2 linked regions of the Astyanax mexicanus genome follow. The protein of the gene in region 2 purifies or fractionates together with the protein of the main gene of each other region. This does not show direct contact. Links are inferred from orthologs where the notes say so. Each region holds a gene or a part of one and is shown on either strand. Other genes may lie near its edges.

The links. Proteins that work in one complex are often made in the same cells at the same time.
Region 1: the proteins of ppm1g (region 2) and kpnb1 purify together in Homo sapiens (affinity purification with mass spectrometry; 3 studies listed by BioGRID and IntAct, with this or other methods). This does not show direct contact. The link is inferred for Astyanax mexicanus from reciprocal best matches to the Homo sapiens genes PPM1G and KPNB1.

Annotation. Positions count from the first base shown.
Region 1 is NC_064410.1:32,298,866-32,309,152, reverse strand, and holds the start of kpnb1 (importin subunit beta-1), read right to left. Parts: upstream 4,019-10,287; 5' UTR 3,764-4,018; coding exon 3,724-3,763; intron 2,488-3,723; coding exon 2,429-2,487; intron 1,124-2,428; coding exon 941-1,123; intron 21-940; coding exon 1-20. Other genes in the region: ube2m (NEDD8-conjugating enzyme Ubc12), read right to left, coding at 9,693-9,833.
Region 2 is NC_064414.1:18,135,626-18,146,262, reverse strand, and holds the start of ppm1g (protein phosphatase 1G), read right to left. Parts: upstream 3,901-10,637; 5' UTR 3,336-3,900; coding exon 3,225-3,335; intron 2,286-3,224; coding exon 2,216-2,285; intron 1,337-2,215; coding exon 1,251-1,336; intron 697-1,250; coding exon 567-696; intron 1-566.

The DNA.
Region 1 (10,287 bases), on a different chromosome or scaffold from region 2:
GTACCCAGGGTCTGCAGCACCTGCACATAGAGAAGAGCAAAGAAGTTGAAGAACTCACAGATTTAAATAAATAATATTCCTGTCATAAAACTGATTACCAGAAACAATTTAACATTTAAACGTACATTGTAAAAAAGCTTGTCTACTAAAAATATGTACGCTGGTCCAGTGGTCTAAAGCGCTGCCACTATGAGTGGGAGGTCGCAGGTTCGAACCCCCACTTATGCAGCTTTGCCATTAAGCTGCCAGCGCTCAAAATTGGCCCTGGGTGGGTAGATGGCGCTCTCTCCCCACATCACTCCTAGGGTAATGTCCACAGCACAAGGCATCTGTGAGCTGATGTGCGCCCCAACACACGGAGGGTGAGGACTACCACCTACCACATCCAATACAATGCAGAATAGCATCACAGTGAGCTCAGAGGAAAGCGCAACAACTTAGTTCCGATACATCAGCTCACAGATGCCTTGTGCTGATTGACATTAAAACAAAGTCACCACAGCTAAAAACAGCGCTAAAACGAGGAAATAGGTTTATAAAACAAACCATAACATTTAAGCCATTACAGAAATATTTCTAGATACCCACTTGCTCCACACAGCTCTTCACCAGGCAGCTACTTCATTTTGTTCATCATAGCATTAATGTGTTCCTACCATTAACCAGAACATTGTCACTACAGGACTCTTAGGCTTAGACGGTAGTGTGTATTGGCTGCTAGATATTTGCCTTAAATTCTGCAGAGTTTAAGATCTCCATTACACCAACATTAGATTTAGCTCTGCAAAACCTAAATACCACTAAATTGGTGTTGGAGCCAATCTGGAATATATTGTGTCTACATTGTGTCAGTGTTGTGGACTCGCACATAAATTCCCCTTGAGAACAATGCTAAAGTAATTAATAAAAAGGTAAATTACTGGGGGAAGAAGTTCCTTACATAGTTTTTAATCTCCCTGCGAGCATTGCCATCGATGGCCAGCCATCTCTGCTGGTACTGCGCTTTCACATCAGGGTCCTTGGACGTGAGGGAGTTTTTCACCTGCAGCCCGGCAGCGACTCTGGCTACCTGGGTGTTTCCAGGATTAGCCAACACCTTGGAGAGCTCCACCAAGAAAGTGGGCTGAAGAGAAGAAGGAAGAACACAAAGTTAACAAAAATTAAATATAACAAACATTTTAGTGGCAACATAACAGAAGCCCCTACTATTTGGGCTGACTAAATTCAAATTAACAGGGTAACATAGGCATAGTTATGACAATAAGTTGTTGCATTAAGCTTTGAGTACATTGCAATATTTTCCTTACAGCTGAAACACCAGCCAGCTGCAGATATTATATAGCACAATTATATAGTCCTGTTTCATAAAACTCATTGTGTGAAATACTGAATTTAGTACAACACTTATAGTACTTCATAACTTATTTTAGTAAAGCAAACAATTGTAATGCACATAGTTATTTTTAAAAAAAGCTAAATATTAAGACAACACTTGGCTGCTCCATGTAAAAAAAAAAAAAAATCTCTTCTTCCTATGAGGGAGTTTGTCACTTGCTAATGACTGGTTCACTCAAAAAAGGGCTGGGACTAAGTTGCTTTGTTACAACACTGATACAAATAATTGAACTTCAGATATGTTGTTAGGGAGACAAACTCCTTGGCTGTACAGTGCAATCCCTGGAACTAATCTTAGAGAACAAGCTCATGTGTAAATAACCTGCCTGTTTTTTTACAATTAACTTTCCACGGTCAGGCATAAATCTCACAGCACCGATGGCAATAAAATAACTAGGCTGCATTGAGATCAAATTCAATCCACCAAACCAATCAATAGTATGATATCAGATAAATGTAGGTGAATTATATTGCTCTGGTCAGAATGCAACTGTCAAGTAGGAACAAAGTCAAAGAATTGGAGGGATACGTCTGATTTTTACACATCTGTAGCTTTAGGAGGCATTAAATGAGCCAAGATTCAGTACAGCTTTACAGTATCGTTTAAAAATAAATATCAGTTTATTTACTCAATTTGAATCTTATCAATCTTGTGTCGTATATAATGTTTACTATACAGCAGTACATATAAAGCAAACTGGCTTACTGTCTGACCGGTTTATCTGGACCTGTAACATGGTGTAATGCACACAGCTGTGCAGGCATTTGCGGCAGGACTCGCCGTTTAAATCAAGGGATTAACAATCAGTGATACGGGAGTTACAGAGGCCCAGTGGCCTGCTAACGGTGAGCTGCTCCATTCAGGGCAACGTGTGGAGGAGAGAGAGAGAGAGAGAGAGAGAGAGAGAGAGAGAGAGAGAGAGAGAGAGAGAGAGAGAGAGAGAGAGAGAGAGAGACCAGTGCTCACTGCAGTCAAGCCTTCATCAGTCTGCTCGAATTTAAACCAGAAGAAATAAAGCTTCACGAAACTTACCAGATTTTCAATCGCTGCCTGCTCCAAAAACTTCTGCGCCGCCTCCAGCTCATTTTGATCTGAGGAAAATGACAGACTGTAAATGAAGCTTCAGCAAACCAACCGGTGTACACAGTTAAAGTTGGAGAGACACAGTAAACGCACAACAAAAATTATTAAAAAGTAGAAAGTTTATATCTAGCTATAACTCTACTAGTTAACTAGCTAAAGCCGTGTAAGTTAACGCTAGCTAACGTGAACCTCCCCTTTTAAGATGTAGCTACCACTCCCTCCCGCCGGGCATGAAGAGAACCAGTCCCGGTATCCGCTAACATACCGGTCCAACCCAGCCTGCAATACCGGCCAACTCTAGCCCAATTTCAGCGTTAAAAACACATAATAATCGGCACAGACGCGATATCTCACCTATATGTGCGAATTAAGCTACTGATCTTTTTTTATTCCCCGAGATCTGCGCGGCTATAAACCTATAAACTTTTAATGAGCCGGCTAGCTAGATTTTAGCGCTCTCTAGCTAACGCTAAGCTAGTCTTACGGCTAACTGAGCTATCGCCAACTTCTGACGGGTTAGCAACCGACAAACTTACCAAAACGAAATTCTTTAGTAAATAACGCCACTTTTGTTAATTTATATACACTTTACACACACAGAAAACGCACTAAAACGTTTACGTGGGTGTTTATGGACCCAGTACGGACTCAAACGGCTCACAAAATCAGCCAAAAAACCCGCGCCGAGTTAGCTAGCCAACCTAACGCTAGCTTGGTTAGCTAAGCTAGCGAGCTAACGGGCCGGTAAACGCTAAAAGCTGACAGCTAACCGCGCATTTTTCAACACCCGCCCCACACTACATCACCGCCCCGACCCTACGTTACGACCTTTCTATTTATTAACGAGTTAAACCATATATATCATATATAAAATCAGCATACAGCACACTGTGAGCTGAAGGAAGTCGCTAAAGTTGAATCCAACTAGGTATCCGCCGTTCGAGTTTTCAGTCCACCTTAAAACCCGTGCCGCAGGTTCACTGTGGCGCTGCGATACGACGTTTAAGGTGGAACTGAGAGTTAGAAAGAGCGCTAACTTCAGCGGCGTCCCAGCTGGGCCCATAGCATGCTAACATAGCTGGCTAGCATAGAGTTAGCCGCCTTGCTAGCGGTGCCTAGCCCGAACCCAGCCTGTCAGCCAGCATTTCAGAGCATTTTAGACAATCTTCCCCCAGAACTGAGGCAGCGGAACTGCAGCCAGCCTGGGAGGAACAGCACAGGGTGTTTAGAGATTAAAGCGGCACCTGGAGAGACGGTTTTCTCGAGGATCGTTATCAGCTCCATCCCGGATTAACACCTCACACTCGGGCTACAAGAGAGGGGCTAACGCGCTGCAGATGAAACAGTGGAACTCTCGGAAATGCCCCGCTCTCTCTTTCCCCCGTCTCTCGCTCGGCTCTCCGCACTTGGCCGGTTGTTTGTTTCCTCGCCTGTTTGTTGTTTGTCGTTCCGCGTGCTCTGCTCCTCTGTTCCAGCAGTTCGCACTCTGCCCCGCGTGCGGAGGGAAAAGAAAGGCCCGCGAGACTCCCGCGGTACGATCACGCGCATGCGCGCTGCACTTTAAATAAATAAATATATAAAATACCCGTACACCCCTCCTGCGCGCTCCCGTGACTCAGCATGCGCGCTCTCCAGATGAGGACAGGTTCTTCAGAACATTTTTTATTTTATTATTTTAATATAATTTATTTAGGAATAAATTAGTGAATTAACCCATCAAAGCCCAGACTCAGTTCTGAATATTGATCTAAAATGAAAAATGTAATCGGTTAAATTAATTGAGCAGCTCATTCGTGTTTTTTTCTTATTGTAATTAATAAAAAACACTAAACTTTTAATATTTTATGGTTAACATTCCAATAAAACATAAACAGTACAACAATGTCATAAGTTGTATTTTAACATTTTATTCTAGAAATAATATCAGCACCAGTTATATACACTTTTTACTATATGATGAAGCTAGAACTAACTACCTCCAGAACTAACCCAGCACTCCTACATTCTGTAAATAAGACCAGATAAACAAGCACACATCTACACACTCTACTGTAATGCTCCCAGAAGGTTCAGTATGCATCACTTAGGAACTTCATGAGTTTAAGTGAAGGACAAAGTGCTTTAAGTAACTTTACACATCTTTTAAAGGCTCAAATCATCATTGGCTGTTTTGGGATAAATACGTGTTCATGTGTTAATATTAATGTTATTTATTTAATATTTTGTTATTATTTCGATGTGATTTTTTCTGTTAATTATTGGATCATAATATTAACAGGGTAACTTCAAGAATCTTTAACATGTTGCTCTGTGCTCACCCTGCAGATAATTTCACCGGGTACCTACCTCAATCCCAAATTCATAGCCAAGAAAGCCCAGCAACATCTTGTAAAGACTGAAGAAAGCTCAGACTGAGGAATCATCCCTATATTTTACAGAAGGACTGTAGAATCACAGCATCTCTGTCCTATAACCTATATAACCTATAACCTAATCTAATATTGAGGACAGCTGAGATCGTCTTTAGTCTCCATCCTCTCCATCCTAAACAGAGGGCCATTTTTGGGGGTCCCAAGCAAAATGCATTTTTTGCCAGCTGCAGGAATCACAAACCTGGCTGGATGATTACTGTCAGCAACTAGTGGAAGGGCCCCTTGAGGGGGATTCCGGTATCAGTGTCATTGTACTTTCCTGCAGTGACCATCACAGAATCATCATAACCAGTCAATGTCTCAGGGCCCTAGACAATTGATTGGTTTTTCTTGCCTTGTTGCAACGGGCCTGATATTTACACCACACACCAAATCGGCAAAGCCATCACTATTATAAAAACTCTCCTCAATCCCCTACAGAACCTTTTTAATTAGTGATGCTGTCTGACAGAAGGTACCAGAGCACCTCTGCTCTGACTGGCGTGCTCCTCAATAAACAGCAGCTCTGGGCCACAGTCAGAGAGGCTGTAAAGTTTTGGCTCATAGTTTCCATTTGTACAGTTGCTGTTATTGTATACAAGATGTCCTCCATAGTACACCCAAAGTACAGTCTGATCATTATTAATGATTGGATGCTTAATTACCAGTATTAATTACTGAGTGATTATTAATTAGGTGCTTGTTGTTCTCAGGGTTTTCCTTTCTGCTTGGCAAATGAGGGCTTAAACCCGTTGGCTGCTACTTTCCCATAATCCCCTGGTCCGATCTAATAAGGGGCGCTCACTGTAATCCTCACAAACTTTCTGCTCCACTTGTTTCGAGTCTCATATCTGAGACCAGTAAATAAATGTGCAGTACTTAGTAAATACAGAAATAATAATCGGTTATAGTTTAAGTTTAAAAACCTGAAAAAGAGCTGAATTGTTTGATGCTTTTGTGTGGAAAATTTGAGAGCAGTATTAAAATAATTACCAATAATAAACAAAAATGTCCTACTAAAGGTTTTTATAAACCTATTAATTCTGGACTTGATCTAAGACATTATCAGGTTGTATGACTCCCTTGAGAGGCAGTAAGAGCAAAAACTGTCCCTGTCCTGTTGCTGCTGTCTCGCGACACCCACCTACTGTCCCGTGACACTCACGTACTGTCTCGCGACACCCACCTACTGTCCCGCGACACTCAGGTACTGTCTCGCGACACTCACGTACTGTCTCGCGACACTCACGTACTGTCTCGCGACACTCACGTACTGTCCCGCGACACTCACCTACTGTCTCGCGACACTCACGTACTGTCCCGCAACACTCACCTACTGTCTCGCGACACTCACCTACTTTGTATTATGACACTGGAAATATTATATAATAGATTTGATGGTCAAATCTAGGGGAATTATCTCATAAGTCTTAAGTCGTCTCAAAAAAACTAAGATAAGACACAATGTATCACATTGCGGCACAGTTAAAAGCTCCACAGGACAGTTAAAAAGCTCTGCAGGACAGTTAAAACAGTTAAAAACCTCCGCGGTACAGTTAAAAAAAACTCTGCGGTACAGTTAAAAACCTCCGCGGTATAGTTAAAAAACCTCCACGGTACAGTTAAAAACCTCCACGGTACAGTTAAAAACCTCCGCGGTACAGTTAAAGAGCTCTGCAGGACAGTAGGAGAGTGTCGCAAGACAGTAGGAGAGTGTCTCGGGACAGTAGGTGAGTGTCGCGAGACAGTAGGAGAGTGTCGCGGGACAGTAGGAGAGTGTCGCGGGACAGTAGGAGAGTGTCGCGGGACAGTAGCAACAGGACAGGGACAGTTTTTGCTGTTACTGCTGCTGACTCCCTTTTAGGTTTAAATGGTTATGGTGGGCGAGATAACCAGCCTGTTATTTTTTAAAACATGAGAGTTTTAGAACAGTAACACTTTTATTTATGATCGGGTGTTCAGCAATACGCAGTCAGTAGTATAAAGTTTACTGAAACTATTGTGTTTACTTTCTTCGTTTTGAATGCTTGACAAGCTAGTGAACTAAAGTAGACGTTTTTGTGCTAGACTTACATGATAAATTCTAATTTTACTTCTCTTGTACTCTGTACACTATTGGATGAATATAGTAAAACATTTCATAATTGACAACTTTGGGAGATACTCTGAGGGGAAAGTTCAGGTCAAATTTTTGGTATATCTGAATTCTAACCAGTTTGATTTTTGACAGTCTGGACAGTCAAAAAATACATGAAATAATTTTTTAAAAACTGGATCCAAACTGCATTTGGAAGTGGTTTAAAATGCAATTGCATTCGGATTTGTAAAGATAGGTCTCTGGGTGATCAAATCTGATTTTATCATTGTCTTTGCATCACTTACAATGTAATAAACAGCAGTTTCATCCAATTCAGAGTGATGGAAGTGGGGAGTCCAATAAGAACGACAAAGATTAGGTAACGACAGTGACCTTGTTAACTTATCAACTCATTTAGATATGCTTTTAATGTCTGGACATGCACAGTCATCTCAACAAATCTGATTTGAGAAACTAATCTGACTTGCCTTAAGTCTAAGACTAACCACAAAAGGATACATGGACAAAAGTATTGGGACATGTCTAAATGACTGAACTCCAGGATGTCCTCCCTCCTTAATATTCCATAACTGTGATTTTCCAGCTGTGAGCGGTATGTGTCTGACCATGTACAGGTACAGTGCAGATGTGCTGACTGCTGAGGAGGGCAGTGCATAGAAGTTTCTAATGCTCTTAAAGCTTCAAAGGGAAGGTAAACTCTATATTAATGTCTCTGGGTTCAGAAGGGGACGACGTCTTAAAGGCCACGTTCACATTACAAACCAAATTGTCCAAAAACGTTTTTTTTTTTTTTTTTTTGCTCAGATTGGATTTAGATATCTTGACGGTTCACATTCTCAAATGTAAGTGACCTGTATCTGTGTGTAATGTGAATGAATATGTCCCTGAAACACCTCACATGCGCACACTGATTTGTGTATAAACGTCGCCTTCTTCACCACCAACACAAAACGTCATATTTGAGAGGCGACTCGTAGCTTTATAAAGGGAAATGGATGAGTTAGCAGCTCATATGTGGAGCATCTTTTGCTGGAGTGGAGAACAAACAGCTGGTCTGAAGTACAGTTCAGGTCGAGGAGAAAAAAAACAACCAGGCGGTTTGCTTTTGCAGTTTTTGCACCCATAGCTGCACCAAGAGAAGTGTGGGTACGAGAGAGAAGCACATAGGGCATGCACAAAAGAAAAAGATGCATAAATTCTGATTTGACCATTCACATTCATTTCACATGTCAATGTATCGAATAGGTATGTGATTTAGGACCATATGAAAGTGACTAAAATCTCATTTGAAAAAAAAAATTGGCCACATTGAGCAAAAAAAAGCAGATTTTTCTTCAGCCTGGTAATATGAACATAGCCAAAAGCTCATGTATGTGTAATATGTAGGTGCCCTAATACTTTAGTCCATGTAGTGTGTTGATACATTTGAAACAAAAAAAGCTAAAGCTAACTTTAGCCTGGTGTACCAAATTAATAAATCAGAGCTAATAAGCTACTCAAATATAACAGGCTAACATAGTGATATTTCAAACTAATACTAACCAACCTAACCCTACTAACAGGGTTAAATCATGATAACATAAGCTAATAGTGCAATAGGTAAAGGTCAGTCAGAGATCACAGTAAATTAACTAAGGATTGAGATGCGAGGTCCACCTGTGGTGACACCCATTTCACATCAGCTCAACTGCAAAATTCTAGTAAGACTAACAAAGTAACATGAAGCAGGAAAAAAAGTAAAAGAAACCTTGACTATTAACCCAGTGAAAACATGATTGTGGTGGCTGTGTTACATATATATGAGTATATAAGCATTCAAGTCCATATTTTATTCAACTTAATTCATATTGCAGTCATTGTGAACAGCTGGGATTTCAATATACACAATAGAATTGTAACATTTTCTGCCACCCCGCCTAACCCAAACCCAGCCCATCTTCACAAAAATCCAACTCTCTGCTCCCCCCACCCCCCCCCCTCCGACTATTACACATGGAGAAAACCTTGACAAACAATAATCTCCCAATCCTCTAGAGCCAAACCTGCATACTGATCCTGTCCTTTGTGTATTTCTGTAAGTCAGTCCATAAGTCTGTCCGTCAGTCCGTCCTGGACATGTGCGTGAAGTCAGTGTATGAGTGTACGTGTGTGTGTGTCAGGGTTCAGCTGTACAGGTCTCCTATCAATATATAAGTGTGTGTGTGTGTGTGTGTGTGTGTAGTCAAATATGCACACCATTCTACCTCCACAGAGCTCAAATGGCTTCAACGTTCTGCTGAGCTTGGCCCACCTTCATAAAGAAACGTCTACAGAGTGTGTCAGGGAAGAAAAGGATAATCCCCCCCTTCTTTCTTACTGGAGCGTCTGTGTTTTATTTTTTCCATCAAACGGATGCCATATGAATCTCAGCCAAAATTAAACAAACAAAAAAAAAGAACCAACCAAAAATAAATCCCAAAATAAAAACAGTGGGCACCAGCAGAGTGGCATTACTCATTACTGTTATCGCCTCGGCCTTCTCCGAGCAACTTTTTTTTTTTTTTAACTGACTGTTCAAGCCTCACCCGTCTTTAAAACCCCACCCACCTCCAAAATATCCCCTCCCACCCCACCCCTCTTCCTCTCTCCGTCGGTGTCAGTCAGTGTCTCAGCGTGTGTAAACGATAAATGTGTCTTGGTATGAAGCGCTGGCAGTGGCGGGGCACTATTTCAGACACCGCTCAAAGTAGGTGGCCCCTACGTATCCACCGCGAAGTGACCGCTGGACGTTCTGCTCAAAAAGTCGCCGGTTCGTCTGCAGCACCTCCGCAGCCTCTTTGTTCAGCGGGTCTTCAGGATTTGGCTCCTGCAGGGAAAACACATGGATAACTCAGTTTCAGCTCTGCACACTGAACAATCTGAACATTAAAATTATAATTTTTCCAAAAATCTTATTCTTCAAGTTAACCCTCTTGACCAGTCAGGACATTTTGATTCGTTTCCTCATTAGTTTTTGTACTGTAAAATCTCCACAGCTCTCTGAATCACTCCTCTTGCAAATAATGTGAACCAACTTTTACTGTAAAATCATCACTGCTCTCAGTCTCTCTCTAGAGAAAGTAAATTAACTCACACTCTAAAATTACAACAGCTCTGAATCTTCTTTAAAAAAAATCATGTAGGTCTTAAATCTAGTTTCTTCCTTCAGAACATTGACCCTTATTCAATCACCACAGCTCCTCTCCTAAAGAATTCTTACTTACTTCACAACCATTCTTAAAATCTATCACAGAGAATTTAAAGTGAAACTGACTCTAAAG
Region 2 (10,637 bases):
AGTGTGGGACAGAGCAAGTATTCGAGAGTGAGCTCCTGAGAGTCTTCAGTACAGCAAAGGTGTGTTAAAGGGTGGATGAAAGCAGCTGATGGCTCCACAGGTAGTTTACTGGATTAGTGGCCTTGCTAACTTGGTTCTTTGATAAGCAGCGCAACACGAACACTCATGCAGACAAACTCATCCTTAATAAGATCTCTGACATGGGCAAAGCTAAGTGGGGCAGGGTGGTTTGGTGAAAATTAAACACGCTGACCAAAAGCTGTGGAATCATCTTCAGTGACAACTTGACTGAAACTGTCGAAATGCAAGATCAAACGATATGCGTGCATTAGAGAAATAAATCGTACAAGAGCACTAGGTCAAGATGCATGCTTGTTAAAAAAAATATATGTACTTGTTTTTCAGGAACAGTATCCCTGATTAGTCACCATAACATGTCACACTATTACTCAATTTTTTTTTTAATCCACTTTTTACTCTTCTATAACTGTACATGTTTAATTGACGTCAATTATTACCATGGTCCATTTTGCACCTGTATTTAAAATTGTAGTCATTGTACTTACAATCATCTTCATCTGCTACTTTTTCTGATGTGGCCTCCTCCTGTGGGCGACCGGCTATCTGAACAAGCTCCTTGATGACTTCCTCTGTGGTGATTCGGCTATCTATTGCCAGGAAGGCGTCTTCTAAAGCCTGGAGACACAGAAGCAAACAGTATAAAAAAAGTATGTAATCAGAGATATAAACTCCATTTTCATGTTCAGTATAATCAAATTACACTTACTAAGATGACTAATAAGAGTGGAACCCGAGACATATTTGCACCTCTGACTTATGCCAGAACAGAGGGCGGTCTGGTGCAGATTTAACATTACAATGGATGGCATCAACACGCTAGCTGCTCTAAATTTCTGGTGAAATCCATAAATGCTACTTATCAAATACCAAATAATTGACAGCTAAGGTCCTTTCATTTAACCAGCTGCAATATCCTAGCAACCACTGTTAGGTGTGCGCCTCGCAAACAGAGGACACATGCACAAAAGCTGCTTTAAAAGTACACAGAACATCTGTGTACACACAATTAACACTGCTTAACTCAGGGCCTGACACTTGCTATGGTTTACCAGTGCAAAGCCTTTACATTCTCTCCTTGAAATGGTCAAAATATACTTTGTGGTTGAAAGGAAGACTGATGAATGCACAGCTGTAATCTTCTACGCTTGCACAAAAACTACTGTGCTTACCTTTTGCAGTTTGCCATCTTTGTATGCCTTCTGCTCCTTTATGATGTCGGGTAAATATTTGGAGCAGTACAAAGCAACTTCTTCACCTGGAAGGAAAGAGAAAGTGCATATGTCTTACTATCAGGCCCACATACTGCAACTGATGAACTGTTGAATTTGTTCTAATGTTTTAAATGCCAAGGTCCTCAGAATTCTACCAAGCATGAGTGGGGCTACTTTGAGCTTGTTAATGGTGTAGAAATTTAGAAGAGATTTATTTTATTTATTTCGAAATTGATTTTTACATGGGCAACACTATGCACCCATCACTTGCATTGTAGGTCTGCTGGGAGAATTGTCTAACAGTGCTGTATTTTGTAATGCTGGGGGTGAACAGAAGTGGGCTATTATACTGTTATCAAGTTTAGCACTAAATCAAGTCCATTTCACACCAGATTTCTCCTATAACCTGGTGTGTTGAATAGTTGCAGTGGAGGAAAATTACTACCGGTAAATATTTTGATGTAACAAATTTCATAACAGTTTGGTTAAATGGTTGGAAAAGCTCAATAAAATAAGCACTAACCTTGCACACCTACAGTCTGTAAATAAGGTCAGATAACGAACACAGATTCACACAATGTCCTGTGATGATGCTTTCAGGATGCTCAGTATGTGTCACTTAGGAACTTTATGAGTTAAAATGAGGAATAAAGTAAATTAAGGAACTTTACATCTCTTTTAAAGGGTCTGTGACGTGTAAAAAAAAAAGGTGCCCCTTTCTTTGTGCGTCACCCCACAGGACATTACACTACAGAAACTTAATATTTAGTTAGCTAATGCACAGAAGAGAAAACAAGCTCATCTCAATTCCAAGAAAGGGGTAGTGTTAACTGATTTAATGCGCTTTTACATATCAGAGCAGAGGCTGATAACGACTATGTTAGCTAGGTACTTGGTGATTAACGCAAGCCACGTTTCCTCACCTCCATGTCCATCATAGACAGCAAACATAGCAGTCTCGTCATCCAGCTCGGGAATACAGTTGTGTGCATCCTGTTAGTGTAGATATAGAGGAATTATCAGAGTGGATGAGGAGGGCTGCAGAGCTGGAAGGCCACAGAACAATGCAGACAGCCATGTGGCGGCGAGCAGACAGAAAGTTAAACTGGCGCGAAAACCCGCGCACACATCACACTGTTCAAACACGACCCTGAGAATCGCAGCTAAGCTAACTAACCTAACTCATTCAAACAGCTTAGGTAGTTAGGTTATAATACCTAGTGCTGCATGGCTGGTAAACTAGCTACATTGTCTGAAGCAGCAGAATGAAAGAGAATGAGGCCGGTGTTGTGTCGAGTTCTGCTACCTTGTCAAACTGTGCTACCTTAGTGTATGTTTAACTGTAAAAATACAAACTATTAGAACATGCTGCATGCAGCAGCACTGTCGGTATGATATTTGAATAGCATAAATCGCTATATCAAGGTAAAGTTAAGAAAGTATAGGCGATTAAAAAAACATTTATATGTGCATTTTTTGTTACTTTTTACACTGTTGTTACACTCAAACAAACGATGATTTTGAGTCTAGATTGTACAAGGCATCCGGAAGAATAAGTTAATTATCAGGAAAAACCAAAGCAGTTGGTACAAAACCCTGGATTGGGTTTTTACTTTCTGGACCTGGGTTACCCACCTCTAAGGAAAAAACACATGAAAACAGTAAAAAAAATTATATATATTTTCGCGCCTGCGCAGAGCCGCAAAGTAGCACATATCGATGGGTAGCACAACTCGATAGGACACCGGCCCTCACTTCGAACTCCATTAAGTGTATTTGAGTTCAATTTATGAGCTGCAGTTAGCTGTATCGAAGTGAACGGCTAGCTGAGCTTAGCTAATATTAACTAACATAACCCCACTGATTCTGCCTGCTCCAGGCTTCCCATAAGATAGCTTAGCTTAGCTATATTAGGTTAGGTTGGTTTGTTACCTCCATGGAAATGCGCCATCCCTGCATGGCTGCAAAGCCGTACTGGAGCTTGTGGTTCCCGCCGTCGGCCGAGGTTTTCTCCGTGTTGGGCTGAGACAGGTATGCCCCCATGATCCAGCCGAGCTAGCTAAGCTATTGTTGTGGGAGCTCGAGAAGAACAGCACGCAGCTGGTTAAGCTACAAAACAAACCGAGCTGTTTTATTTAAGCTAGCTTCAGCTAACTCACAGACGAAGCAGAGCTCAGAAGCGGCGTGTCTGGTGGAGCTCAGATGGGCTCTCCAGCATTTCAGAGGCCCGGGCAGAAGAGAGCGAGGAGCAGGCGGTCAGTTCGAGAGCTGCTGGCGCTGCTACTGCTGTTCACCCGGTACTTTTCCCCGGCTAGCTAGCGCCTCTATAATCACTGCTAGGTTAACTAGCGTTAGCCAACGCAGGACTATAACGTAGCTAGATTAGATGCTGCTGCTGCTGGAGTTTGAGCCAATCACAGAGTCGCTCTCACAACCGAGAACCTAACTACACAAAAACACACCGGCGGCGGGGTTCAGGAGGCTCAAAAAACACACAGGAAAAATGTAACACGTGTGAGGGGCATAATCAGCGGCGGCAGCAGCCTGTCGGACCCATTTCACAGACTGGTGTTCTCTAAAGGAAGTGGAACCAGAGCCGGTTTTCGGAGAGCCTGCCCACTTTCTCCTTCCCCTCTCACCGTTATATCAGAGAATTACAGCCCACCGCTAGAGGGAACCCGCGAGGGAGACCCAAATTAATGGGAGTGAATAGAGCTAAACGGCTAAACTCAAATTAAAATAGTATCTAACTGCTTGTCCGTTATATTCCTTTATTAAAGGTCGCATTTTATCGTTTTTTTTAATAATTATGCAGTGGTCTTTAGTATTAATGAATGCCCTGTAAGTCAGATTTTTTTTTGAGGAAAGTGCAAGAGGTGTCAACTAACAAAGTACGGATACTTCATTAGCTACCTTACTTAAGTAGAACTTTTGGTTATCTCAGACGACTTTTTACTTGGTGTTGCTATACACCTGAAAATATTAGATCTGTATGTATAATAACTTTCATTATAAAACATTCATTTAAAAACTGTTTCTCCCCTCCACCATATGTGAGTACTGGTCCTCCCCAGGTTTCTTCCTCCTCCAGCTCTGAGGGAGTTTTTTCTTGCCTCTGTCCCTCAGTGGGGTTTCTGTATTGTATGTTTTGCCTGATTCTCTGTCCCACGATCACATTTATTTAAAGCTGATCAGTTGTTCAAAGTGCTATACAAATAAGTTTGGTTTGATTTGATCATTTCTAATTCTTACATTTAAAAAAATGTTAGCCTCGTTACTCTTATTTCCTTTCAGCTTGTTTTCATTCCGGCTTCTCAGCATAAAAAAGTATCCAGATAAATCTTTCTATATTAGGATAAAGGGACACACACACACAGAATAGATTCTTAAGTGGCTATTCTCCTCTCAGTTGTTTTTTTGGTTGAACCGAAAGGCCCGCATAATTGGTAGAGTCGAGCTGATGGAGACTGAAGTTGCGCCTTTGAGCAAAACGGCAGTCGATAGACCAAACATTCAAACAGTGAATTTTTAAAACATTGATAATCAGATACTATAGTTAAACAACGATATAACATTTCACAATCCTACAGATGTCAAGGCATATTAATAAAAACGAAAAAAAGAAAAAATATTCCTGTGGAATGTATAATTTACAAAAATATGTAAAATATAATATACCGTGCATGTATCCATTGTTTTAACAGTTCTGTTATTTTTGGAAATATTTTTAGTAAACGTAAATTTATAAATAAAACATTTATTTAACCCAAACAATACATAACAACTAAGCAAAATGTTTTCATACACTTTAATCTCACAATTGCATTAGACTGTTTTATTAATAATAATAATAATAATAATAATAATAGTAATAATCATTTTCTCATAAAATACAAAACATAAAACGGGGAGTATAAAAAATACAAGGAGATTAAAAGTGTTGCATTACAGGACTTTAAACTTTATTAAGAGAAAAATTAGATCTCATTTTCATTTTTTTTTTACAATGATTTAAAATATTTTAAATGTTTTTTTTTTCGTAAAATCGTAAAGTAATGTTGCAATTACATTAAAATCTCTAAAGAAGTTTCGTAATTTCAATATAAATGTTTGTGGTGGATGAAATAGTGAAAATATAGAGGCAGCAGTCAGAATAAATTTTAGATTAAATTGATCTCAAAACAGAGCTTGGCAACATGGCAATATTTTATCATATTTTAATAAATTTTCTATCATACAGACACTATTATTTTTACACATATTGAGATCATAAACGCTTAAAGAACTCTAACCCAACTGTACATTTTATTACATGCTGGTTATAATGAAAAAAAATGTGTATTGTGTAAATGTCTTTAACTATCGTGGCCATCCATCTCAACATATCTAAACCTATGGTTTTGTCTTGGTTATAGAAAATAATACAGTACATCAATACACAAGGGCGTAGGAGTGGGTTTGACATTAGGGGGACACATTTGCTAATATAAAACAAAGCCCACCCTATAGTTAACAACATGTATGTAATTACTTTTAATCACAAATCTGTACTTCTCTTTATTATTAATTACATCAAAGTAAAGGCCACTTTACAACCTAAACGTTACTCCACATTACTGTTGTTAGAAAAAATTATGCGTGCGTATATACATATATAACAAAAACTGACCAGTTATCACCTAATATTTAAAATAACATAGGATATGTGGTTATTATTATTATTAGTAGTAGTAGTACTACTATGTTTTGGCATGCCAATTCTGTTCTATATTTGTATACTTACATTTGCTCCACTCTTAAAAATAAATAAATAAAGAAAACGCAACTACATAAAGAAAACGCAGCATTTCAGAAACGCTGCGTTAAGAAAAACGAAATTACTTAATTACGTTTGCCACACTGGAAATGCTCCCAGCCGCTAGAGGGCGCTGTTTAGCTGCTGTTGAGCTGGCGTGTCAGCATGGCCGCCATATTGGAGGAGGCAACATGCGCCCCCCAGTGCATTAATTTACACTGAGGAAGGTGTTTAGTACACCTATAATAATAAGACCTTTCACAGGATTTTTAGTTACAGGAGATACAGGACGCTGTCACACATTACAAATATGTGCTTTCATGCTGACATACTTTGTTTTATGCTCTTTAACAAAGACAGACGTACGGTATGGCATATAATAACTGTATAAATGAACTAATTTAATTTTTATATGTACACACACATACTCTTCATTTTGCTCAAATATATACCTATAAAGAGCATTACTTTTATATGTATGTACATATAAAAAAATAAATTATTTAATTTATACTGTAATGTATATATATAATGTATATAGTAATGCAGTTGTGCTGTCATTTTTTGTTTGCTTTATGAATGCCACTGTATTATTTCGTTAATAGTACAGCTGAGCTGAACGGAAGGATATCATTTATGCGAGGGATCAATATCTGGTGGCCAGGCACGGTCCGGCACTGGGCGCTCACAGACCGGGCTTACACCCTGTTATGCTAACGCCGCATTAGCGACCCCGTGAGCGGGCCAGAGTCTCTGTGTTAGCATGCTGTTATGCTAACACCGCGTTAGCATGCTATAATGCCACCCCAATAAGTGGACCTGTGTCGGTTTAGCTTGGACCAGGGCAGAACACATGGTTATTTCTTTTCATGTTTTTGTCACTTTCTTAAGGGAATCAATAACAAAAAGTATAATGTATTTTTTTTTTGCAAACTTGTTAAAAAAAAAGTTCATTCGAAATGATTTAAGACTTTTTTGTGAACTGCTTTTAAATATTTAGTAGACTGTTGTATGTTTTGTTCACTTTGCATTTAATCTGAATCTGTAGATGGGACTGTGAAACTGAGTTTTTGTTTTCAATTCCTAAATATTTTTGCACAAGTCTGTTACATTTTTAATTCATTAAGGTGAATATGTAAATTGAACTTGTTTTGATTGAGTTAGACTGATTTAATATTTAAAGGTGACTTTGTAAATTGAGCTTGTTTTAATTGAGTTAGACTGTCTTAATATTTAAAGGTGAATATGTAAATTGATTTTTATTTTATTGAGTTAGACTGACTAAATGTGTGCTGTAAACCCTGGGGAATAGCTTGTATCAATGGGGTGATTTTATGATAAAGCGGATAGAGTTTGTGCTGTAAACTCTGGGGTAGAACTTGTATCAGTGGGGGGATTTTATGATAAATCAGATAGAGTTTGTGCTGTAAACACTGGGGTATAGCTTGTATCAGTGGGGTGACTTTATGATAAAGCGGATAGAGTTTGTGCTGTAAACACTGGGGTATAGCTTGTATCAGTGGGGTGACTTTATGATTAAGGGGATAGAATTATTGCTGTAAACCCTGGGGAATAGCTTGTATCAATGAGGTAGTTTTATGATAAAGCAGATAGAATTTGTGCTGTAAACCCTGGGGAATAGCTTGTATCAATGGGGTAATTTTATGATAAAACGTATAGAATTTGTGCTGTAAACTCTGGGGTATAGTTTGTATCAATGGGGTGATTTTATGATAAAGCGAATGGTCGTAGTTTAGTGATGTTACTGAACGGACTGTAATGACTCGTATCGGCCGATTAGCGGCGCTGCTGGACATCTCTAGTTACTAACTTTGTAGTTAGGGCTTCATTTACTGTGTTCCCAGCAGTAGTTTCATTGAAAACACCCTCATGGAATGCTGGCGGTTCTAGGGGCGGGGCCACGGGGCATTGGCCCCAGCTTGAAGTGCATGTATACTCTCACTCTGGCCGAGAGCGATGATCAGATTGTAGGTGGCTGCAGTTCCATGCGCATGCGCTAATGAGCCCAATAGGAAAAACACAGTGATTAAAGTTTAAGGGAGATTTTTTGATGTTCTGGACTGACAGTATTTTTATAAAAGTAAAAAGGTTTAAAAAATTAAATAAGATGCTGGATTTTGAGTCTATTTATGAATATAATTTGTTTATGTACAGTAAAAATGCATGTAAAATTGGTAAGGAGATTATTATAAAGTAATTTTTTTCCAGAATGTTTTACACAAAAATATAAAATATCCAGACAAAATTTTAGATTATGTACATATAGAAAAACTAAAAAATCAGAATCAACAAAAATACAAAAAGCACAACAATTAAAGTAAAGACTTAATTAATTAACTCTATATATTCTACTGTTTAAGTGTTTTTAAAATTACGTGTTTGAACATGGTGTGACTGGTGAAATAATACTTGGCACCTCTATAAATGGCCCCTTGCTGGCCCCTTACTCAGAAAAATCCTATCTCCGCCACTGGTTTGGAATTGGAAAGATTCACACAAGTTTTTTGTAAATCAGCAAAACCCAGTAACCAGCTAACGCTAGCAAAGTAAAGTTAGCATGACAGACATTTGTAGCTAATCATTACATTTGTATTACTGAATATTCACATTCACTGCTGTTTCTTTGCATTTTACTTAATGTCAGAAGGAAAAGTCACAGATCTACTGAAGCCAGCTGTCTCATCTCAGCATCAACCTCCAGCAGCAGCTACTGTGAGGTATAGTGAAACCTGCTCTATATTACTGAGAAATACAATAGAGGAACATTTATTTAGAGTATGGAGCAGCACTGCCTTGTATTTTAAATTTGAGATTCACCATAATTGACTTAATTTTCCTTTATGGATCATTACAGTTCAACACCCCTTTCTCAATTCTCACAGCAGGTGGAAGTGTTGCTTCAACACAAGTCTGTGTACATTGGCCTGGAAAGTGAGTACTGGTGGGTGTCAAAATTTCATAGTCTTGATTTTCAACATGAACATTGCCACCATAATCATTAGCCTCAAGCCTGAATGTTATTTGATTGTATTTTATTCTTGTATCTGTATCTTTTTTGTGATTAATTAATTTATTTTAATTGTTTAAGCTAGATATTTTAGTATTATTCCAGGTGCATCTCTTTATAATACATGTAAAAATACATAATTAATTAAATAAAAATAAATCTTCTTACAAAATCTCTGATGTCTATACATTTCATTTTTATTAGACTTAAAAAGTTTCTTACATTTTTGGTCTAATTTAACTTGAAACGTTTTGCTTTTTACAGTTTCTACTTGCCACAGAAGGTTCACACAGTATAAATGACAGCTAATATTTCCATACAGTTTATTGAAATCTCAAATTAATATAGCAAATCAAAAATATAGTTACTGCCTTATAGTTATTGTATTACTATCAAATGAAAATTCATACATTTTTAAGGTTCATGACTGTATTAGAATCAAAACTTGTACTAGACCAAAATAGCAGGTCTAAATAAAGCTCTATATAAGTGCTAATAGCGCCACCTTTTGGATATTCCTTTGGACAAGCCATTATCTTAACAGGCTTCCAACAGGTTATGTACATTTATAAAAGGTATAAATATAAACTAAACACTTATCCTAGATGCAGCTTATCAGACTTGACTGATACAGTATCTGGTTTGATATCTTAACATGTGCCAATGAATTTAGACCATCATCATTGTAGGGCAATTTACGAAAGCATGTTAAACTCGGAAGTAAGAAATCCCAGAACATGAAAAGATGATAAATTGTGTAAAAGTTTTTAGAATTTAAAATCAATATAAATGGGACTATTTAATAGATACATTAGAAAGGAGTAAAAGTACATCAATGGGTCAAAACATAGTATAATTATATCTCGATAGGTCAACACATTTACAACCCAGAGAGAGAGAAACAAAAAGCCAGGTGAGGGGAGTGAGGACCCTTGGGTGTCTCCTCCCGTAACCTAACACAGACTTCATCCAAGCAGTTATACATTTATGCAAATGACATGAAATTTCATACAATCCAATACAATTGGATAGAATCTATCAATATTTGCACTACTGTTATTTACTATTTTTACTGTCATTCCATCTCAATCACCATCAATATTGCACTATTGTCTTACGTATGTTTATTGTGTCTTACTGTATTGAACATATAGTGTCTCCCACTCTTTTATATTATAATTATATATCTATTTTTACTTATTTACTTATATTTATATATCTATTCCTCCCCCACACCACTGCACCTTGTTTTTGTCTCATGTATGTCTATTTGTGTCCCTGCTGTATTGTACACATAGTGTCTCCCATTCTCCTTTATTATATCTATTATCTGTACTTGCTGTAAAATTGGGAAGGAGAGTAACGTAATTTCAATTCTCTGTAGGTCCTGTACATATGCAGTATTGACAATAAAACTACTTGACTTGACTTGACTTGACTTGACTTGATATGATTACGTCAGCATTTTCCAGTTAACAGCTTGTTGTCCACTTCCAGTTTGCCTGGGCAACAAGTTCTTATC